Linked DNA regions of Arabidopsis thaliana. The protein of the gene in region 3 binds, or shares a complex with, the protein of the main gene of each other region. Each region holds a gene or a part of one and is shown on either strand. Other genes may lie near its edges.

Evidence for each region.
Region 1: TAF15 (region 3) and TAFII15 share a complex: the UniProt entries of both Arabidopsis thaliana proteins name them as parts of the TFIID complex.
Region 2: TAF15 (region 3) and TAF11b share a complex: the UniProt entries of both Arabidopsis thaliana proteins name them as parts of the TFIID complex.

Annotation. Positions count from the first base shown.
Region 1 is NC_003075.7:15,351,739-15,359,999, reverse strand, and holds TAFII15 (TBP-associated factor II 15), read left to right. Parts: upstream 1-3,568; 5' UTR 3,569-3,809; intron 3,810-3,829; exon of another isoform or gene 3,830-4,196; intron 4,197-4,259; exon of another isoform or gene 4,260-4,276; 5' UTR 4,277-4,295; coding exon 4,296-4,388; intron 4,389-4,484; coding exon 4,485-4,549; intron 4,550-4,950; coding exon 4,951-5,013; intron 5,014-5,198; coding exon 5,199-5,250; intron 5,251-5,344; coding exon 5,345-5,395; intron 5,396-5,696; coding exon 5,697-5,777; 3' UTR 5,778-5,953; coding exon of another isoform or gene 5,954-6,029; 3' UTR 6,030-6,080; coding exon of another isoform or gene 6,081-6,161; 3' UTR 6,162-6,204; downstream 6,205-8,261. Other genes in the region: AT4G31715 (uncharacterized protein), read right to left, coding at 5,954-6,029, 6,081-6,161, 6,298-6,341; GLR2.4 (glutamate receptor 2.4), read right to left, coding at 7,038-7,469, 7,548-7,954, 8,038-8,261. UniProt on the Arabidopsis thaliana protein: TAFs are components of the transcription factor IID (TFIID) complex that is essential for mediating regulation of RNA polymerase transcription.
Region 2 is NC_003070.9:6,934,841-6,941,385, reverse strand, and holds TAF11b (TBP-associated factor 11B), read left to right. Parts: upstream 1-3,719; coding exon 3,720-3,811; intron 3,812-3,965; coding exon 3,966-4,488; downstream 4,489-6,545. Other genes in the region: TUB5 (tubulin beta-5 chain), read left to right, coding at 905-1,301, 2,322-2,591, 2,671-3,353; AT1G19990 (nucleolin), read right to left, coding at 4,721-5,024, 5,412-5,482, 5,573-5,668, 5,775-6,059. UniProt on the Arabidopsis thaliana protein: TAFs are components of the transcription factor IID (TFIID) complex that is essential for mediating regulation of RNA polymerase transcription.
Region 3 is NC_003070.9:18,626,737-18,635,937, reverse strand, and holds TAF15 (TBP-associated factor 15), read left to right. Parts: upstream 1-3,898; 5' UTR 3,899-4,059; intron 4,060-4,237; 5' UTR 4,238-4,275; coding exon 4,276-4,380; exon of another isoform or gene 4,381-4,396; intron 4,397-4,490; coding exon 4,491-4,819; intron 4,820-4,935; coding exon 4,936-5,133; intron 5,134-5,728; coding exon 5,729-5,812; intron 5,813-6,188; coding exon 6,189-6,270; intron 6,271-6,383; coding exon 6,384-6,507; intron 6,508-6,923; coding exon 6,924-7,120; 3' UTR 7,121-7,383; downstream 7,384-9,201. Other genes in the region: AT1G50290 (uncharacterized protein), read left to right, coding at 7,676-8,080. UniProt on the Arabidopsis thaliana protein: TAFs are components of the transcription factor IID (TFIID) complex that is essential for mediating regulation of RNA polymerase transcription.

The DNA of each region.
Region 1 (8,261 bases), on a different chromosome or scaffold from region 3:
TTGATGCTTTGTTTGTAGAGAAAATTAGGAATCTAGCATTTTAAAAAATTCAATTTGTTCAAATAACAGATACTATAGAAAAATCGTTGATGTTTTGTCTATTTGCTCAAGAATTTCGGCGTGGAAGCTTTGGAACATTGGCGTAATAGTTTTGAAAAATATGTAACGTTTACTTGTCAAATAAATTTTTGTCATGTTTTAATTCATAAACTTCGGTCGAAAACAAAATAGAATCATAAAACAAAGCAAGAAAATGAGTATCATGGGACTGGATCCACAAGACCGGGACATGTTTGATTTTTATGGTAATTATTTTTAGGCAATCAGAAAAATTGTGTTTTTAAAAAAGCAAGATAGAGAGATATTTTTAAAAAGATATTGTTATTTAAAAACATAAATCAAAATCAAAATTGGGAATTTCTTGTCAGTGAGAGAATAATAGTTTTATATATAAATAAAAAAAATACAGGTCCCATCTCATATGAGTATAGCAAGTTTCACAATCTTCATCATTAAAGAACTCGTGCATCGTTTAGAAGAAAAAAAGTTTTTACCTCTTTTTTAATTCTAAAACAGTATCAAAGTTTTTTACAAGAAAAAGAAAACAATAAAAAACAACAAGGGATAAGAAGGCCGCATTGTCCATTGGCAATCATTCCACTAATCACTATTAACATGAGAAAATAATATTTGTATAGTTTTGTTGTGTGATTGTGTCCCACGTTTCGTCAGCTTCCACTTCGCACCTTTTAGCAGTAGAGGGTACGTTTTCTTTCTGCACGGACAATCACCGCTCGTCGTTTTGTACTATTCGTCCCTACTCCTCTCATACATATAAATGGAAACGTTCAAAAATCTGAATGGCTTAAACAAATTAAGTTCAAAAATTGTTAGACGCTACCTAAACATCAAATATCCTATTGAATATGTATTCTTAGTACTAGTGAAAATCGTGTAAGTGAAGTGTGGGCAAGAGAAAGATGAACTTGTTAGTTGGAAATTAATCGATAGATGTTAGACCGTACCGTGGTGATCGAGGTTACAGACCATGAACCTATGATTTCTCATATCAAACTTACGAGTTCATTACTTCAAAGTACATTTAGTGATGGCTAATTAAAGGGCATTTAGAAAACTAATACGATTTTTTGAAACATGTAACTTTGGTATTATTTAAGCAATATCCATTACGCTCGTTGTTTGCTTTACTAAAGGGCAAGTTTCGTATGAGGCAAGGCCACTTGGATATGAAATACTCCACAAACTTTATTCTACGCATATCAAAATTTTAATTATAAATATAGCATGCCAATCTTTTTCCTAAAACAAATCTCCAATATTTAATTGCAATTTCGGTGGATAATCGGATTCCACTTTTGTACTTGAACGGCCAGTTCTTTCTTACTAGTAACTTTCATTCATGTTTTTTAATGGTTAAATACATTTCAACTATAACAGAAATTGTTGGCAAGAGGCGACCAATCACCAACGAAAGCTCGTGTAGATTACATCCACATAAATAATTATTACATGTATTGCTGTTTATATTCCAACTTTATCATAAGTAATCTAGTTAATTGAAGATTAGCGACAAAAATATGATATTAAATTGGATGGGAGAAAACATATATTTAATTAAGCAAACGAACATATTCGCAACTTGAGTTTTTGGGGGGTGTTTGGTGACGTACAAACTTCTCTTCTTCTAGATAAGGAACTATGCACTACAAATTTTCTTAATTATGCACCACAAATTTTCTAAAGTACGATTAAAAAAGAGGAAATCTAAAGCCAAAGTAGTAATCAACCCTACAACAACACATGAGTCACGACTTTCAGTTAACTACAATTATACAAATATTACTTGATTAAGTGGTGTTATCTTAACTAGTGTAATGTATGTTTGAAATTAATAAAGTCCATCTACAAACCATTTTATCAAAACAAAAAATCCATCAAGCAAATTGAAGCCACTCTTATAGCCGACTAACCGTACCTACAAATTTTCTGTTTCAAACTTATGCATATCTATATGGGTGCTTATGATACTTCCTATTAAATTTAATAAAATTAGTAAAAATTTCCCTACCATATATCATATTATTATTTTTTCGATCCAAGAAAGTTACTTTTTAAAATAGTTTTCTATTTTGTGACACTTCTAAAATATTATAAGTGTATAGCCATTTTTCCCCAAACAAGGAATAGTCTATCAGTCTATACAGTATACACACGATTTATTTGCAAAGAACCTACATACACAATTTCTCTTCTACCATGTTAGATTTTTAGTACTTGTTTTACTAGATTATGTATTTTTGTTTGTCTATCGGTCTTTTAATTTTCACTTGCTGGAGGTAAATAATGAAGGAAGTAGTTAAAAATTGAGATAACATAGTTGTGTAGAAATTAGAATACAGTGCAGAACTTAAAAGTATGGTTACGATCACATTGACAACAGTCGATATTCCATTGAGATCACATGAACATTGCTTCGTTAGAAATGCTCGTCGATCGCCTGAAGTAAACCGATTTGATTGGCCACCATGTTTTGCCTCTTCCTGATTTCATTGATATATTTTATTTTTCTTTACTATTTTAAACAACAAAAAAATTTAGAATCCGTATTCCAAAAGTAAATTAAATTTTTGCATACAATTTTTCTTTTTCTTTAAAATATCTAGGTTTTAATATAATATTCCATAATTTGATGAAAAGAATTAAAGAGAAAGTTCAAATCAATCCATATAGCTTGTCCTAGCCTATAGCCAAAAATATTCCTATGCCGCGATTGAACAACCGTTTTTTAAAAATCGTCAAATTAAATCAAACCTTTTTCCATGACAATGAGACTTGGATATAGTTTACATTAGATTCTGATTGGCCCCTTTGATATAACTAGGTAAACTAGCTTCTTGAATAAACTGTCTCTTATTTTGGTTTTATACAAAAAAAAAAAAGCTTTTGGAAAATGATTTAAATGTAAATACATAATACGTAGCGTCTAAGAAGCATATTTGAGAAAATATGGATTTATTTATCTGGTATTTATCCATTAATTTACCTACAAATGGAATCCACCATTAACCAAAAACAAACAAACAAATGGAATCCCGTGAAATAAAGTATCATCATATACATATCTCTCTTTTATGTTTTTATGGAGAGAATTAGTCCAATCCTTCTTCACTGAATTTACCACCTGCTTCTCGTAGAATATATAAAACTACCCTTAAGTCTTTTTCTAATGACTATGAGTTGACAAATGAGAAAAACAAAAACTGCTTTTGTTGGTCATTAAATATTCCGTCTAGATGGAGTTAGTGCTTTCATTGTCATATTCTTTGTCTCCCATCAAATTAAAGCTCACTATACAGCAGATTGTACAACACTATACACTAAAGTTACATTTTTGAGATTTTATTGATTGACAATTTCGTTTCGATATTCTTAGATACACTAAACTCAAATATTGATTTTATGGGAAGAGAATAAAAAATGGATTGTGAAAAAGGAAAAAAAAAAACCTAAATTTGGGCCATATGTGAAGAATACTTCCTTAAGTTTGGGCCATAGTTTAAATCAATAGGCCCATTAGTCTATCTAACGATTCTTTCTCAACTCTTAAAAATCTGACCGGCGGAGATGGCTCTGAGTTGGACCAGTCGGAGGATTAGGGTTTCAACGGAGACTCACTAGTCGATCTCCGATCCTTTCTTCTACCCGCCCGAAATCCGTCGAAACTTCTCTTCTTTACCATTGATTTGCCTCGTCTCAGCTCAATTCTCTTCCGTTGCTGCTTCGTTTAGGTTCGCATTATCGCTTACTTTATTGAATTTTTCCTCTATGTCTCTGGTTTCAATTTCAGCTCAATTTTGTCTTTTTTTCGGTTGAATTTTCTCTTGGGTGGTATCGAATTTTGCTCATGAATGCTGTTTCTTGATGAATCAGAGCCCTCTTAGTTTACTTCACGTCGTTCAATTCAAAACTTGGTGTGGTCTTTTGCAACACAAATCAGGAATAGTTCGTTACTTAGAAACAATAATGTCATACGAGAAGACAAATCTGGAACAGAGAATTAGTAAATTGAGCTGGAAAGTTTCAGTAGTCAAAATTCTCGTAAAACTTATTTTGGTATAATTGTGTCATGAGTCATGACATTCTTTCTTAGGTTTCGTACAAGTTTCTAATTTGAGGTAGATACTAGTTCAGAGGTTCTTTATTAATGTTTGATTTTGAAAACCTTTCTTTACTTACAGTTGTTGCTTCGCTTCAGTACTCTGGTGGTGGGAGAGATGAATCACGGCCAACAATCTGGTGAGGCAAAGCATGAAGATGATGCTGCTCTTACAGAGTTCCTTGCTTCTCTGATGGATTATACTCCTACTGTATACTTTCCTTTGTACTAGTTACAACTTTTTCTCGGCTCTACATGACTGAAATTTGGGTATTGATTGAGTTCTGGATTTTTATTTTTCTTTCAGATTCCTGATGATTTAGTGGAGCACTACTTGGCTAAGAGTGGATTTCAGTGCCCCGACGTACGATTGTAGGTATTTCCGACAAGTTATATCTGATACTTACAATGAAAGAGCAGATAAGTTGATATTGAATGGAATCATTGTTGGGTCTTAGAATGGGTGACCAGTAGTTAGATCAATGGCTTGGTTTAAATCATTTTGGATTAAGGTTTTGCCCTGTTTAACATTCCTGTAAAATGGTATGATAAAGAAGTCTATGTTGGACTAGCACTGAAAAAGATTGGCAATTTGAATGTAAACTTCAGAGTTCAGTTTGAATGCGTAGAATAATGAGGGGATTCTTCTCTTTCTATCAAATTGAGTGCTGAATATTGGTATATTTTAGTTTTTGAGTTTTTCACTCCTGTCATAATCTTTTCCTGTATCTATTCTTGCCAATATTCTGTTTTTTTGTTTACTTGTTTGACAGGATAAGGCTAGTTGCTGTGGCTACACAAAAGTTTGTTGCAGATGTTGCCAGTGACGCCCTTCAGTAAGTTTTCATTCTCTTCACAACGAATTATCATACCCTTTTTCATATTTGACTTGTAATTGAGAAAGAGAAGACACTGCCCATTCTGAGTAGATGAGATGAAAAGATGTCTACGCTAGATTTTCCCAGAAGCTAAAAGCATTGATATAAGCTCCTGAATAATAAAAATTGTCAATTATATACAGGCATTGCAAGGCTAGACCAGCACCAGTTGTGAAAGACAAAAAACAGCAAAAGGTAACATCTGACTCCCTTTTGTTTTTTTTCCCTCTGCAAGACTGCAACAAATATGTTTTGGATGATGACATGAATATTAATGTTTCCTTAACAGGATAAGCGTTTGGTATTGACAATGGAAGATCTTTCAAAAGCTTTGCGTGAGGTAAATGCTTCTTCCTCTAAGTTCATGCTTCTGGTATTGTTGTCCCTCAGACCTCCAATGTATGAGAAGAAAATGTAGATGTCTCTTGTTTTTTTTTACTTAAGCTGCAAATTACTCTAAATACACATGGCATGAAACTAATTCAGTATCACAGAATCAACATAAAATGCTTAGAAACATGTTTTAGAGTTAGTGGTTATAATATTGTGTATTGCAGTAGTGTAGGTAGATAGGTAAGGTTTTACAGTCTCGTCTTAACTAGTAGTGGGAAGCTAACTCGTGAGTAAACTCGGTTTGGCAGTATGGTGTGAACGTGAAGCATCCAGAATATTTTGCTGATAGCCCTTCGACTGGAATGGACCCTGCAACAAGGGACGAATAGAAACCAGGAATTCCTCAAAATCTTTGCCTAGTAAGGACGGTCATGTGTCTCAGATCCCTGATTCTCTGTTGTGTTTCAGTTAAAAACAAAACTCACTTGTCTTGCTAGTCCTCAATTACTACATTACATGTATATTCGTTTGTTGTTTGTTCTCTGGTGATTTTTGGGGTTCTACATCACTTATCCACCATTCTTGCAAGTCTCCAAGTCGTGAAAATAAGATAAGTATCCATCCTTGTGATTAACTGGATACTGTAGGATTGAAAAACCACAAAGTATATTTTCCATCTAGCAATGATGAACCTAAGTGCTTCTGATCTAACTTGAAACATTGCCACACTCTGTTGTATACCTTTAGACAATCCCCCTTTGTAACCGCGGCATCTCAATAATAAAGTTACTTTTTGGAATTTAGCAATTGAAAAAAGCTGTTCTGTTTTGTTTTTTCACTTTCTCATGTCCGAATATTCTTTACCTAGAAATACATGAAAGAAGACAACAATCTGAAAAATCTAGTAACCTTTCGTCAGCTTTTACAACGCTACATTGAAGACAAGAACACATTGGTTTTTTCATCACAAAGAAAGTTGAAGATTCTTGAGTTTTTTTCCTCCTGAATTGTTTGAAATGGTGAATCCTCCACTTCAGTCTCCGACCAATCCGCATTTCTTCCAGCCACTACTTCCCGGTTTCGAGTGTCACCTCGTACACACTCTCTCTGTCTCTCTCTGTTTCTGTCTTTCTTTCAGAGTCGGTTTTGTTTTAAATGTTTTGAGGCTGAAAAGTTAAGGTAAGTTTCAAGTTTTTTATATGACATAGGTACTTGTGGTTTCTGAGCACATTCTCCTTATATGTATACAGGACCATAAACGTTGTCTGGAATGATTCTATATGCCGACTTTTTGTCTGTAATATGTAAAGTCTCTGTCCAATTTCTTCTCGCATGACTTAGCTAAAATATCTTGGTTTTACAGGAGAAAGAGTTTCTATACTAATACAAAATGGTTGAAGAAGCATGCAAAGTTGGTGGATTTTAAGACTTCTGAGTTCCATTAATTTGATACTATTGACGACAATCTTCAAAGTCGGTTTTGGCTCGCCGGGAAAAGATGCACATATGGTCAAGTCTCGTTGTAACTTGGAAAAGGTTAGGAGTTAGTAAGTGTGTGTTTAAAGGATTGCACTAGAATCAGTGAGCTGTGATGATACAAAGGTAACTTTGGCTACATGAAGAAGATAAAGAAAAAAGTTCAAAGATTTTTAGCCGTTAATGGGATCAATGTCCTCTTCCCTGGGTTGTATTAACACCTGAGGACATGTTGATCTCACACGGCTAATGTATGATTCACCATCACTTTCCATGAACTTTAACCACATCTCCTTCATTCGTTTGCCACGGTAGAATTCGTCATTCAAAATAATCCGATTCTGAATCAAGAAACAGATCACAAACTTCAACAAGGCAAGGGTACAGACAGTGGCTGCAGCAACAAATAGAAGCAAGAAACTATCGAGGCTGAGCTTTCGGAAGGAGACTGTTGGGTTTGGGTCAGGGTTGTTCATTGGATCAGGACAAGTTTTGTCTATGTTCTTGAACCACGCAGTTTCAAGTTGAGTTGCTTTGTTAGACTCTGCCACTTTCAAAATGGCCCTTGATACATCGGCTACTAGAGGCGATCCAATTGGGAAGACCTACAGAATCGAAACTAGTTATATGCATCATTAAAAGGAAGGATTGTATGCAAGCCAAAGAGAAGTGATGGAACTTACAAAGCCAAACCCGTCAACATCAAATGGCACCTCCACCATTTTATATTTCTTGCAATATTGTCCAAGAAAAACTCTCACGTATGGTACTTCCATGAAGGCTGCAGAAACACCACCCTTTGATGGTCCCTTGTTCAGAAGTTCTTCACATTTCTCTGGAGAGGTAAATGGCACGAGTCTGGACTCAGGGAAGCCCGATTCTCTCAGTTTCCCCAGTACGAATGAATCTCTCTGATATGCCACAGGTCCTCCTTTTGCAAGCACGTTCTTGATGCTCGTTTCAGTTGGATTGAGCTGTTGTGTTGTGAGAAGCGATGACAAACTGGCAGTATAACTCTGAGTCAGCACAAGAACAATGAAGTACCAAGTGATAACCACAACCCTTGCTGTAAAGCTCATTACTCTTTCTCCTGTAAAAACATAACTTTTGAGAGTAAACTTATGGAAACAGACTCGTTGCCTACAGAGAGTACTAGAGGGAAAGCGAACATACTGGGTGCAAAAACCATGATGGAGAAGGCAAACCAGAACATAGTGCTGATCTGGTACTGGGGAGGTCCAGTGAATTCAGAGTTCACCCTATGTTCAAGAATCCACACAACAAAACCAACAACAAAAAAAGAACCAAGGGTCATCCCCCAAAGCCCCGGTGTCAAAGGTTTAAAAAAGATCAAACTGCTTCTTGCCACGTTATCTTTTAGAGGGACAACCATCCCC
Region 2 (6,545 bases), about 12 Mb from region 3:
AAGAAAGTTTATCATCAGAGAGGAGTGATCGGTACATCAATCGGCCACAAAAGGCCTCAGACGACCGTCGTGAGAATTTTAGATCAAATCTCATCACTTGAATTTAACTTCTTCACATCAAAAAATCGATTACTTTAGCAAAGTAAAACAATATCAAAGATGAAAGCTACAAAAACACGAAGAAAAAAGAGACGAATATAGCCGGCGATTATGGGTACTGAAGACTAGTTTGCCTTTTTATATAGGATGATGGAGCAAATCTAGGGTTTAGTTTGACAATTAAAGCATACGACACCGTTTATTTTTAAATGGGCTCGTCTATTTATCTACATGTCTGGCCCATGTATGACTTTACTAGATCTAGTTCTGAAATTGAAAGTTATAAATTTTTGTATAGATTACTTTCTTCTTCCTTATTTTTAACACACAATTTATTATATGAAAACAATTTAACTACATTAATGAAAAAAATACAATTTTTTCAATAATACAATTTTGCATAACGTGCTCCCATATCTCTACTCTACAACTGGGAAAAAATATATTATAAAGCTTGTTTTTGTATAGACATATTCATGTGTATACAACATGTCAACAACATACATTGGCAATATATGCACATGCATGCTCCAAGTTGCTAATTAAACACTGAATCTGAAATCTGAAATTATGCCAATCTAAAAACCTTTCGGCGGTAAATTTTGAGTGAATAAGACAATGTAAAATGACTAAGATAAAAAAGTGTTAGGTGGGGTGAAAAAAAACAGAGAATAAAAACCTCGCAAGCGAGGGAAGTGATGAATAACAGAGACAATTGGTTATATTAGCTGTCACTCCCATCTTTCATATTCCTTCACCATCTCTCTCTCTCTCGATCTTGTGAACCACTACACACACTAACACAATGAGAGAGATCCTTCACATTCAAGGTGGTCAATGCGGTAACCAGATTGGTTCCAAGTTCTGGGAAGTCATCTGCGACGAGCACGGCATCGATTCCACCGGACGTTACAGTGGAGACACTGCAGATCTCCAGCTTGAACGTATCAATGTCTATTACAATGAAGCTTCAGGTGGAAGATACGTTCCTCGTGCTGTTCTTATGGATCTTGAGCCTGGTACTATGGATAGTATCAGATCCGGACCGTTTGGTCAGATCTTCCGTCCTGATAACTTTGTCTTTGGTCAGTCTGGTGCTGGTAATAATTGGGCTAAAGGTCATTACACTGAAGGTGCTGAACTTATTGATGCTGTTCTTGATGTTGTTCGTAAAGAAGCTGAGAACTGCGATTGCCTTCAAGGTACTATATATATCTTTTTCTGAATTTTCCATTATACGCAAATTTTCTATAGTGTTTGATGTCGTGCATCATAATTCGTATATTTACTGGATTTAGTTTGATTCAATAATCATTTCATTCGTAATTTGTCTGACGTCACCGTATCGATAATCGTTTATCACCATAGATCTCTTCTTGTAATATAGTATGATATCTATCTACATAATTAGTAAAATTAGGTCACGGTTTAGTAAGTGTACTATAGTATGTTTTTTTTATTCTTTTTTTTTTTACTTTGATGATCTTGTTTATCTATTATTGGTGTGCATCAGTGCATGTGGGTTCTTATTCAGTAATACGATCAATCAAATCGTCTTATTTAATGTAATTGCAAGACAGCAACGAAATAATTGAAATGCAAGTGCTGTTTTCTGTGGAGTGGGATGTTAGCACTTATTATTGGTAGGGCCAAGCTGTTTTGTATAGTATTGAGATATTTTTTTGTCAAGTTTTTTTCTTCATATTAAAGCTTCAGAGATAAGATATTATATCATTGTGATGTCGTGATCAAAACATTTTCAAGGCACCGTGATTACGGGATAAAAGATGGAGTGGTCCTACTACATCATATAGATTTCTTGGAATTTTGTAGTAAAAAGTTAATAAAAATCTCTTTTGCCTTTAGAGTTTATAGATAATGCTTGTGGAGCCCAAACAACAATCTCACGTGATTCGTTTTTTTAGTTACTTTTGGTCAGGTCTCACGTGATTCGTTTTATACATTGATTATTTAACTTCAATTATAACTATGAGTCTATGACTACTAGTGTGCATTGTTATTATTGGGGAGAAATATTTTTTAACGCATATTGTAGATTCATTGATTATTGTTTTAAAGCATTGTAGATTCACATAAACATTATAGTTGATTTAGTTAGCAAGGACTAGTAACAAGATGTTTGCTTGACTATATATGAACACTTTTTCGTCTCATCGATGGAACCAATACTATGTGAATCATGGGGCTGCATTATTTTACAGGGTTTCAGGTGTGCCATTCGTTGGGAGGAGGCACAGGTTCAGGAATGGGAACACTATTGATATCGAAGATCCGAGAGGAGTATCCAGACAGAATGATGCTCACTTTCTCTGTTTTCCCATCTCCTAAAGTCTCTGACACAGTCGTTGAGCCTTACAATGCAACTCTCTCTGTCCATCAGCTTGTAGAGAACGCTGATGAATGCATGGTCCTCGACAATGAAGCTCTCTACGATATCTGCTTCCGTACCCTCAAACTCAGCACTCCTAGCTGTAAGTACACCCAATTCTTATCCTCCATTAACCCAAAATGTATTTAAAACTAATTCTGATACATTGCATGATGATGTAGTTGGAGACTTGAACCATTTGATCTCCGCAACAATGAGCGGTGTGACTTGCTCCTTAAGGTTCCCCGGACAACTAAACTCTGACCTCAGGAAACTCGCGGTGAACCTAATCCCATTCCCTCGTCTCCATTTCTTCATGGTGGGTTTTGCGCCCCTCACTTCCCGTGGCTCGCAACAATACATCTCACTCACCGTTCCTGAGCTGACTCAACAAATGTGGGACTCCAAAAACATGATGTGTGCAGCTGATCCACGTCACGGACGTTACCTCACAGCCTCTGCTATTTTCAGAGGACAGATGAGCACAAAAGAAGTCGACGAGCAAATCCTAAACATACAGAACAAGAACTCGTCTTACTTCGTTGAGTGGATCCCAAACAACGTGAAATCCAGCGTTTGTGATATCCCACCAAAGGGGCTCAAAATGGCGGCGACGTTTGTGGGTAACTCGACGTCGATTCAAGAAATGTTCAGGAGAGTGAGTGAGCAGTTCACGGCTATGTTTAGGCGTAAAGCGTTTCTGCATTGGTACACAGGAGAAGGAATGGACGAAATGGAGTTTACGGAAGCTGAGAGCAATATGAATGATTTGGTCGCTGAATACCAACAGTACCAAGATGCTACTGCTGATGAGGAAGGTGAGTATGATGTTGAAGAAGAAGAGGAGGGAGATTATGAGACTTGATCCACCAAATCAAACATTTTACTTAAAAGACAAGGAAACGACTCTTGGAAATCTCTCTATTTAAATTTGATTGAAAAACATTGAAAAAATGGGAAATTTGTTTAAATGTGTTTTTTGTTTGAGTAATTTGTTCAAAGAAAGTTTGAAGTTTCCATTTATTTTGGGTGTCTTGTATTTTCCATTTGAGATAATACGTCCTTGCTTCTCAAGCTACTGTGTAGTATATAAATTTTACACTTCTCTCAATTGTCCCACATCGAGTAAATTAGTATAAAGGAAGCTAAACTTTTGCCTCTATAAATAAAGATACTTCATTTCCCACCGACTTTTACATTTGGGCTTCTTAAAAAATAGGCTTGACAATAAATGGCCTTTAACGCAAGGTCTTGTTGTTTTGCTAGTAGCAACGAGCGGGTTACTTGTAACTGCAATTGTCTGAAAGATCAGCCAGTGCCAAGGTACTTGTAATTACAAGTACAAAAAATTGATTTCTTTGAGTTCATGTTCATGTCGGATTTTTTCTAGTGTGGTCGGATGTGCAACAAAAAAATTGGCTGAATTTTGGAGTTTTAAGATCCAAAGATATGTGATTTTCGTTAAGGTTTTATTAAGAATGAAGCATTCGAAGGATCCGTTTGAAGCAGCAATGGAGGAGCAAGAGGAATCACCTGTTGAAACCGAGCAGACTCTTGAAGGAGATGAGAGAGCTGTGAAGAAATGTAAAACGTCCGTTGTTGCTGAAGCGAAGAACAAAGATGAAGTTGAGTTCACCAAAAACATAACTGGTGCTGATCCTGTGACTAGAGCCAACAAGATGCAGAAGATTTTATCACAATTTACAGAGGAACAAATGAGCAGATATGAATCTTTCAGAAGATCTGGTTTTAAGAAATCAGACATGGAGAAGTTGGTACAGAGAATCACAGGGGGTCCGAAGATGGACGACACTATGAACATCGTTGTGCGTGGTATCGCAAAGATGTTTGTTGGCGACCTTGTGGAAACAGCTCGAGTTGTTATGAGGGAAAGGAAGGAATCAGGACCTATTAGACCTTGCCATATCAGAGAGTCATATCGAAGACTAAAGCTCCAAGGAAAAGTGCCTCAAAGATCAGTTCAACGGCTTTTTCGCTAGTCAGAATGACGAGGTTACAAAGTAGTGACATGGACGAAGAGTAACTATCATGCTCTAAACCAAACGTGATTAAGTCTTTGCTTAATAACTAAAGAAGTACACGATAAGATCAGAAACAATTGGCCATCTCTCTCATTACTCTTAAAGAATTCACCTTTCAAGCATTCTACAAATTGACTCCCTAAGAAACGATTACAAATAACACAATGAGATTTCAGTCTTTTAATTCAACCTACTTGGCTCTAGCCTTTTTAGAGACTCTGCTAGCCAAAAAATCATCATCTGAGTCGTCATCATCAGAGTTCTTCTTCCTCTTCTTCGTGGTTGGTTTCGAATCATTTCCCTTCTTTTTGTTTGACAAAGCTTCAGATGGCGACTTTTGTACTTCCTTCTTCTTCACGGTCACTGATTTGGAGTTGCTTCTTGGAGTAGAAGCAGCAGATTTTACTGGAGAACTTAATTTTCCACCCTTTTGCAGTTTCTTCTCAAGAACTTTCTTTGCTTTTTCGGCTGGAAGCAATCCAGACTCCATCAACCTGTGATCAAAACCACAAAAGGGTTTTCAAATAAACAAAGCAATCTAAAAGCAAATATTACACATAACCATCACAGATCATATAATCAATGCTTTGAGTGACTGGTTTGAAAGGACTCCCCTTTCTTACATACAATGTGAGTCCAATTATGATGTTCAAAATTTATGCGAACTAGCTTAAACCGTGTCGCAAAACACAAGAGACCATCGAAAATCAAACGCAAGTATGCATCAAGTCCCAAAAGAATAATTTAAGGTGTAGGACTCAGTTTGCAGATTGAGTGATCAAACACAAATAATCAGATACATACCAAACACAAAACATTAAGTGTAAGTGTTTTAAAGTTGCAGAACAATGTAAGGCAGAGAAAGGAATAGAAGAGCTTACCAAATCTGAGCCATGTCGCTAGTGGGAATTTGTTTGTAAAGTGACTCGTAGAAAATCCTAAGTGGATCTCTCTGCAGAATTGCAAAATCAACAAAAGAAATTCTTCAGACGAATTCAACAACAAATCTAAAAAGCAGAGAAACAGAGCAGCAAAAAAATACCTCATCAGGCTGCTCTCTCTTCTGACCAGGCAAATCATATACTTTTCTTTCTCTCTTTTTCTTTACTTCTTCTTCTTTCTCTGGTTTCTTATTCTCCTATAAACAAAGAGAGAGACTCATAATCAAAACAATGCCTCATCAAATATTTTACCATCCTCAATATTTATACTCAAACAGAGAGAGAAAGAAATAAAAATCGAACCTTTGAGACACCAACAGAAGAATTCCTCTTAGAAACAGGCTTCTTCTCATCGTCTTTATCAATCTCTTCCTTCTTCTTCACTGGCTTAGCTCGAGACCCAGATACAGATGACTTGATAGGTTTGTTATCATCATCATCGTCATCGTTCTCTTCTTTCTTCAATTTCTTCGAACCAGCATTGTTACCGTTCGTGGGTTTCTTCTTCGCAAAGGAACTCAAGCTCTTATTGTCTTCCTCAGCCTCCTCTTTCATCTTCATAGCTTTCACATCCTCCGAAGGTGGCATCTTCTTCTACCAAATCAAAAAAAGTCGAAACCTTTGATGAAATTTTTGTGAGAGATTTGAGAAGAGAAACCGCTGTGTTCCTCCGTCAATTGTGCCCTAATCCAAAAATAAGAGGAGGCTTGGAGACGGCGTCGTTTAAACCCAAAAGCAAAATCATTCCACTGAACCGGACCGAAATTTAGCGGTTTAAAGAAGAAACCGGTTAAATACGAAACGTTTCTGCAATAAGCCATACTTGTTGTATACAGAATCGAAGTTGGATTTGAATTGGTGCGAAGCAGAAAGCTCACTTTCACACTCAGTGATTCGACATACAACACCAATACCAAGAAGCAAATGATCTTATTCAAAATATCAAATCCATACAAGAGGGAATTCTCAGCTATAAACAAAATAAAACCGGAAAAAAAATCTTCTTCAAAGCCGCTTGAAATCTTTGTTGCATTGGCAGATGTTCCGCCATTGCTGTTTTCTTCTTTGGTTAAG
Region 3 (9,201 bases):
CTTTGTTATTCAAACAAGAACTAGTGAGCTTATGATCCAAAACTGAAGAGCTTGTGAGCTCCTTAAATATAAGAATTTTCGTTATCTATTATTAGGAATCGATTGTGATATTAGCTGTTTTAGATTTATCTTAGCTTATGAATAGGTGAAGTGGTTTTGGTATTTTTTTCATGTTCTTCAAACCCAGTTTTAGTGGAGATCTTACTGTCTTTTTTTGACAGTTTCTTTTGTTTTTTTACTGACAACTTCCGCTCATTTCTCTGTAATTTTTATTACATAAAGACTCTAAGAGATATGTTGAAAAAGACAGTCTAACCCTAAAATAGGATCTTGTATTAATATAATAACAGTCGCATTTAGCTGTGAACTAATTGTGATTTCGTTCAGTACGTATATATAATATAGTCTATTTGGAGACATTTCATTTCTAGTTTAGTTTGGTTCATATATTTAGGATTGATTATTAGATACACGTCATTGTAGATCGTTGTTCCAGCTAATTTGAGAGAGAACGTTACAAAGATAATTGAAAATGAAGAAAAAAACAAAGTAAATATATCTACGTAGACAAAAATGTTCATTGTCATTATGAACACACCGTACGTTCTCTAATAGAATAGGTTTTAAGATATTTCTCATCTTTGTAACTCTGTAATATATATATGCAAATTGAAAAAGAAACAACAACAACAACAACGTTCCCATTTTTGAATCATGTCATTATGTCAATCTCGGTGTAATTAACAATGAGCTGGACGAAGAACACATAGCAAAACCTCCGAGAATGAAGATTGGATCAGTTCAACATCCTAAGCCTTGGTCATCAAATATATATCAGGCTCATGGACGACAGAAGTCCGAGTTTGTAACATGAGAAAAGATATTACAAATTAAGTTTATCACTACGTACGTACTTGATAAGTCTAAATGAAAAGTGATGGAACAAGAAATCTTTAGAATAAACATGTCAAGTGATCATGACATGATGCAACAGCCATGAACAATTATCAGCCACCCTTTCATTACGTAATTAACCATCACATTAAATCTCATGAAGACTTTCTTTATCTCGGCTGTCTCCTGATTAACCGAACCACGACTTCTTCTTCTCAAGAGCTCAAGTGGCTTTTTTGCTTATATTCACAAAATGAATTGATGGCTATTAAGCAAGAGTGAATGAGGATCAAACAGTGCACATTCAAACTTTGGGTCCAAAATCTTTAACGACCATATTCATCATTTAGCTAATTTTGTCTATAAATTGATTATAGCATTTAAAATCAAAATTTCTTTTATTTCCAAGACAAACAGTCATACATATATATGCCAGTTAGCTGTTGTTTTCACCTTTGAATCTTAGAATTTATTTTTTCACCAACGTTGGACATGCTCTTTATAAGAGTTTGGAGGGCTTTTAGTTATGGGGCAACTAAACCTTGCACGGAATTTTCCTTAATTAGTTCATGTTTAAATGTATCATAGTTAACTATGTCATGGTTAATCCACAAAAAAAAAAACATATTGTGTATGTCCAACTACTCATCCATCCTTTTAGGTTCATCCTTGAGAACCTTGCCATATATCTACTTCTTTTTGGGAAGTACGCTCGGTAGTGGAATGGATAGTTGCTTTTTTTTTTTTTTTAAATGGATAGTTGCTTCATCCTCAACTTTAGCCACAAAATCTAAAACTTGGATGGCAGTTTAATATTTTTGATCTGTTAAATCTCGGAGGCGCCAAACTTTTCGTTTGGGTGAAGAGATCCTTTGATAACTCCCAATACACATAATGATCTGATACCAAATTTGTTTTTATTAGTGTCATCTTATATAACATTTTTTATTTATGATAAGATGTGAATATATTACCAAAACGTAGTAAGAATTTTATTTTAATGAGATTTACTAATATAAAGTTTTTTTTGGGTTTTATTTAAATGGGTTAGGAGTGCAATTGAATCATTTTTTCAACTATTTCAACTTAAATAGTAAAAAATTGATTGAATGTTTATTCAACTCTTTTAATTTCTTCAATTACGTCAACCATTTGCACTGGTTTGTCAATTACAGCAATAAGATTTTTCTCTGAAAACTCATTACAAGAAAACTTGTTCTATTCTTTAGTGAGTTTTTAATCTACTAATTATATATATGAAAGTTAGCCAACTCTCTCCATATGATTGACACATCATCACTTTAACATTTGCCATGTATCCACTGAATAATTAATGTAAGCTCTTCAACTTTTAATTTATAGATTAATGATGTATTTATTATTTAATTTTACATATTTAATTGTACTAATACTAAATTTATTTTGTTATTAAATGTTTTTCAATAAAATAATTTGATTGATTTTCTCATACTCAAAAGATTTTTTTCTGTAATCTTAACTCAAATTATGAGTGTATAGTAGTCATGGATTAATTAATAGTTTGAATAGTTTGCATATTGTTATATATCTATATAATAAATCGCCGAGGGTGAAGAGTATGTAAGAAGTTTAATCATCAAATTCTTAGGTTTCGAGAATCCCAATATTACCTTCTATTTAATTAGTTTAAGACGAACATTGTTTAGGAATTGTGTGTATAATGCATTGTTGAGAATGTTGTTAGAAAAAATATATTTTAATATTAAGAATAATTACTTATTATATAAGTAAATGATTAGATAATTAAAAATTATATTTAAATTAAACGATACAAAAAATTTAAAAATACCGCAGCGTAGCGCGGGTGATTACCTAGTCATAGTAAAATTAGTAGTGACAGATTTTAAAAAATGACAAGCTTATGCTAGTAACTTTACAAAATAGATAGCATTATATAAATATTTTACTGTAGTATGAGTCAATACTTTTTTAATTATTAATTTAGTCAATATATGTTAGATGCAAATGTATTTTTTTTTATTGACCAATACTTTGGTAGTATAATATTAGTAGTATTAGATATTATTGGCTATAAATAGATTCAACATTGAAACACAAATCATATATATGAAAGAAGACTAACTCTCTCCCACAACTTGACACATAAGCACATGAGAGCTTGCCACCTAGACTTCATAAAATAAGTAATACATAATTAGTAATTAATTCAACATAACAACTAAAATAGGAGAATATAATTAATGAGAACTTGAACCATCACTCTTTCTACATTTTTAATTCAATATATCCTCTTTAATTTTGAGATCCACTTAAGTGGCTAAAGTGATGATAAAATCCAAACATGTTACACATATTCCTGGCCTAAAAATTAGACGATTATTATGAAAGAAACTAAATGAATATGCAGATTAAATATATCTAAGCTTTTCGATATTTATGCTAAGAAAACAGGTAATTTGAAAGATATTTGAGGAGCTATCCTTATAACTAATACGTAAGATATAAGATTATGACAAGAACTTAACTAAACTTTCTAAGAATATCGAGTTGAATATGCTTAGATTGAATATGCAAAGACATGATTAATAAAGACATGTTATATTTTTAGTGTAAGAAATAATTTTTCTAAAATTTCACTGTCTCACAATCTATACATATAACTAAAAAAGCAAGGATATATAAATTCAAAAAAAAACTAAGAATCTAAAACAACAATAAAAAACAACTCAAGCACATTCGTTTTTCAGATGAACTAATATAGTTGGACTTTTCAAAAACAATTACAAAACATATTTATGTTTCAAAACCTATGCATTCAACTTTACTTTATATAAACAGACATTATATAAAACAATTAGTAAATAGTAATACGTAAACCCGCACGTAGTGCGGGTACTCATCTAATTTGTAAATTAATAATTCCTCAATTTGCACCCAAAAAAAGAATTCCTTAACCACGAAAAAAATAAAAAAACAAAATTACAATTTAAGGGGGAAAGTTATATGAAATTGCAAATATAACCACCAAACAAACAATCGACTATCGAGGTTACCCTTAAGAAAATCTTTATTCGCAAGATCTCTCTCTCTCTCTCTCACTCGACGCACTTTAGAAAGAAACCCTAGTCCGACGACCTCTCCTTCGCCGCTGAATCCTCATCGCTGGTCAGATTTCTATCTATCTCGCTCTTCTATGTTTCCCTATCTCGTTGGTCAGATTTCGAATCTTCTTTTTGTTCTCATGGTTTTTGAGCTCAAAACTTTGGGGTTTCAATGTCTCGATGTTATTTCTTAGCGAGGTTTCAATGTTGGCTAAGTGAAGTTTTGGTATTGTCATTTACAGATTCTTGGCGGCTTTCTTTTTGATGAAATTGGATTACGATGGCTGGATATCCTACTAATGGATCAGTCTACGTTTCAAATCTCCCCTTAGGAACTGACGAGAATATGTTGGCTGACTATTTTGGGACCATTGGGTTGCTTAAGGTATGGTATTGGCCAGGTACTAATTGTTGCTTTTGTTTTGACGTCATTGCAATCTTTTATAGGTCACTAGATTTTCGAGTTTCTTACATTTTTTTCTACATTGCTTTTAGAGAGACAAACGAACTGGTACTCCTAAGGTATGGCTGTACCGGGATAAAGAAACTGATGAGCCCAAGGGAGATGCTACTGTTACCTATGAGGATCCGCATGCTGCTTTGGCTGCTGTTGAATGGTTCAATAACAAAGATTTTCATGGAAACACCATTGGAGTTTTTATGGCCGAGTCGAAGAATAAAAATGCTGGTGATGCAGTTGAGTTTGTTGAATTCGATGGAGGTGCTGAGGAAACAAATGGAGGTGCTGGAAGGGGGAGGGGTCAGGCTGATTCTTCGGCAAAGCCATGGCAGCAAGATGGTGACTGGATGTGCCCTAATACAAGGTCTGTGATGTGATATCGGTGAGGAGCTTCATCTAGCTCTTGTTTCCGTTAATTTGCTAGTTTTTATATATTTTATAGTTTCTAGCAGTAGTGTTCTCATACTCTTTCATTGGCAGTTGTACAAATGTGAATTTTGCATTCCGTGGGGTTTGTAACCGCTGTGGAACTGCTAGACCAGCTGGTGCATCTGGTGGCAGCATGGGTGCTGGTCGTGGAAGGGGTCGAGGTGGAGGCGCTGATGGTGGGGCCCCGGGGAAGCAGCCCAGTGGTGCTCCTACTGGTCTCTTTGGTCCAAATGATTGGGCTTGTCCAATGTAAGCATTCCGATTAGGTTTGAAATAGTTAGTTCAGTTTCAGAGGATAATGAGCGTTTGGTACTTGATTAAAACACATCGCAAGAAACAATTTATATTCAGTAGCAAAAGAGAACATTCAGATGGCATATAGCGTTGCTGGATATAAAATTAATTTGTCTTATGTATGGAAGGAATATAGCTTGTATATCAATGCTTTTGATGATGTCAGTTGACTCTTTACTTAGAAAGAAGTGATGGCCCGCTCTGCTGTGCTGTGTCTCTTAAACTGGTCCAAATTATGTGTGGAGGCACATATTTTTTCCTTCTTTTTTGAATGTTGATTCTAATTTCGTAATTTTCCTTCAGATGGCTGTTAATCTGAAAAATGTAATTTGAAACGTGGGTAGGTTGTAGTCTTGATCCTTCTAAGAAGTTATATTTGTGAAGATAGGCTGCCTTCAATTTTCTGTGTCTGATACAAAAAATGGACTATGTTTTAGTTTAATTGCAAGTTATGCTATGTGTCATCGAGTAGCTTAACTAAGAGGCTGCACTGTGTGAATGTGAGTTCTTATGCATAATGCACTTTTTCTTTTTGCGCTAATTCTTTCAGGTGTGGCAATGTCAACTGGGCGAAACGTCTAAAATGTAATATCTGCAACACCAATAAACCTGGTCAGAATGAAGGTGGTGTGAGGTATGACTCAAAGCCAGTGATAAGATTGCCTTTGTATTGTTATCTTGCAATGTTCGAGCTGAGGATTTGGATTATAAATGATTTTACAGTGAATGTAGGAGAGGTCGTAGATTTTCTGTTCGATGTTTGTAGTTTTGTTGTCAGCAGGGTATATTTATTCTGCTTTTAGACAGGGCCTAATAGATACCTGGGAAAAAGTCTCAATACTCTCTTCTGCAATTTGAACGAGTGCTTGTTTTCTTCGACAATTGATTTATCCCACTTGTAATGTTTTATTTTGGCCAAATTAGAGTTGCATTAAGAAACATTAAGGTTTGAGTTTGGAAGGTTGTTTTTATCTAGACCAGTGCTTATTCATTTTTTTTTCTCTAAATAGGGGAGGCCGTGGTGGTGGTTACAAGGAATTAGATGAACAAGAATTAGAGGAAACGAAGAGACGCAGGCGTGAGGCTGAAGAAGTAAGATATGCTTTTCCTGAAGAGTTCTTTGTTTTTTGTTTTTTTGTTGCAATTCGGATGAGCTCTCAGTTTTTTGTATATTCCATTTGACTTATACGTCTAATATATTTCAGGATGATGGTGAAATGTATGATGAGTTTGGGAATCTAAAGAAGAAGTACCGTGTTAAAACAAACCAAGCTGACACCAGACCTGCTGTTGCTGCTGGTCGTGCTGGGTGGGAAGTCGAGGAACTAGGTAAGTTCTGTTTAATTTTAACTAATATGAACTAAATCTATGCAATCATCAAATAGGTTGAGCTTATGAACAGAACCTTTCCACTATAATAGAGATTTATTTGGCTCGATCTATATCTACTCTCTGTGTATAGTCTTCAAAGAAAGTTTCTGCTTGTCATCTAGACACTTGAGTGAAACTTAACATATATGCGGGGAGGGATTTGTTTGAAATTTTACATTAAGCTTGCAGCTAACTTGCCTATAGCCCAAGCCTAGTGGGGATCTCCAATAAACAGTGTTGTTCCTTGTTAGAGTTTTCTTCTTTTCACTGAATAGATATAGAGGAAGATAGAAAAGAATGTTTATTGCTGCTTCCCCAAAAATAGAAAGGTCATGATCCAATGTAGTTGTTCATAATTTATATGAATGTGGCAGGTATTGATAAAGATGGAAGAGAGAGAAGCAGAGACAGGCAAAGAGACCGTGGTAGAGATCATCACTACGATAAGGATAGACGCAGAAGCAGAAGCCGAGAGAGGGAAAGAGGCAAGGAGCGTGACTATGACTATGACCATGATCGGGACAGAGACAGAGACTACGGTCGCGAACGTGGAAGCAGGTACCGTAACTGAGAGATTACTCATAAGTGTTAGGGTTTAGTTTCTCATCTGTTTTGTCGACTTACTTTTACAACGGTATCATTACAATGTCTTCGCCTTTTGTTTACTTATTGTGTGAAGTGAAACTCATTTTGGTTTGAATCAATGGCTATTGTTTTTCACTTGTTTTGGTCTGATTATGTTCTGAGAATACTCCATGTTTATCGTTTCGAAAATTGGTAATTATGGCAAAACATGGTTAGCGACGTCAATTGCTAATTTAGACGTGTATTAAGTATTATTTTGTCTTTTGTAGTATTATTTTTAGTTGTCCCTTTGTTTTTTTTTCCATCGCCAATCATTTCATCGCTGTATGATTTTAATGGGAATAAAAAAAATAGAACAAGAAGATTTTTGTGGACAATATAGTTTCTGAAACTATAATAGGATAAGAAAAAATTAAGCTTATTTGTGGGGATATATATTAATGTCATATCATTGTCATAAACATGGTCGGCAAAACTTGGGACGGCAGTTTACCAGAATAATCCGGTCGACAGAATTCAACAGTTCCTCTCTCTAAAAGATATGAAGGAGATTAATTTTGGCTTTGTTAGCAAAGATGGCCGGTCCTCTTCTGGCAAATCCGGCTTTTACAAGCGGTTTTGGCCGGCTTTTATCCTTCCTCCGCCGTTCGATCGGTTGTTCTTACCGATTGCTTTAGTTTCTTTTTCAGTTTTTCTTTCAATAATTTCTAAAGATTTCAATTGGAGATTAATTTTAGGTCATAATAGCCTAAGATTAAGTTTTCGGATTTGTATCTTTAGAAAGTTTGATTTGCAGAATTACCTCAAGTATGAAAGGAAGTTTTGTTTCCAGCATATTGGGATTGCCTGTAGCCGTTTCTACATGTTTATGGAGCTTCGATCGATCAAATTTGAGGAATACTCAGATTTTTCTTTCCTCATTACCTGTTTTTGCCAAATCTCTTGATTGATGATTTTGGAATTGAATTCTCTGTTTGTGTATCCTCCCTTCTCTGTTTAGCAGTTTCCGGTGAGAAAAAAACAAAAATCGATGTTTGCCCTTTTTCGACGTTGATTGTGTTCACCGGATCGGAGTCTTTGACGGCACAGGATGACAGGAACGTTTCATCGCTTCTCTTGCAACACGTGTCTTGTTATACGATCGTGTTTTGTTAAAGAGATATCCTTCCTTTAAAGAAATGTAACTAAGTGGACCTTTGTTGGGCTGTATTCTGTGGATCATTAATAAACATAATCTTTCCAGTGAAAAAAAAAAAAAAAAACATGGTCGGATATGGGAAATACGATGAAAAAAGCTCGTCATGGACTCGCACTTAAAACAGGAAAATCTTTTTCGTCTAGACCCCACTTATTCACATGCACTACGACATAATTCCAAATTCTTTTAAAAAAAAAGAAGAAGTTAATAGAAAGAGTGACCAAAGTACAGTATATGATGATATTTATAACATACAGTTAAACTTCTATAAATTAATAGTCGATAAATTAATAACCTTTATAAATTAATAAATTTTTCCAATCCCGAATTTGTACCAGTGTAAAAAGTGACACAAATCGATAAATTAATAAGATAATAACTTTTTTGAAAGTTCTATGTAAATATATGGTCCCATCAATATCATAAATTAATAATTGTATAAATATATCAATTATATATATACATTATATGTAGGAATTTTTCTGAAATATAATTCTAATATTTTTTTGCTTAAATTTGTATTTATTTTTATTTAAAATTTAGTTCTCGTATTTTACTGTATCAAAAACTTTTGGTGTTGTTTTCTAAACATGATATTATTGTTTAGTTGTAATTGATTCTTGAAAGATATTTTCTATAATGAAAAAAATCCTATAATTTTTTTTGAAAAGTTACTAAATTAGGAAAATCTCTCTATAAATTAATAAATATTAATTTATCGATAAATTAAAACCTCTCTAAATTAATAAAATTTTGTAGTCCCAACATTATTAATTTATAGAGGTTTTACTGTATGTTGTGTTTAGTAATGCTGTATTAATTTTTTTAGTGACCTTTCAAACACTTTGAAGTTTTGATATTCATGTTTG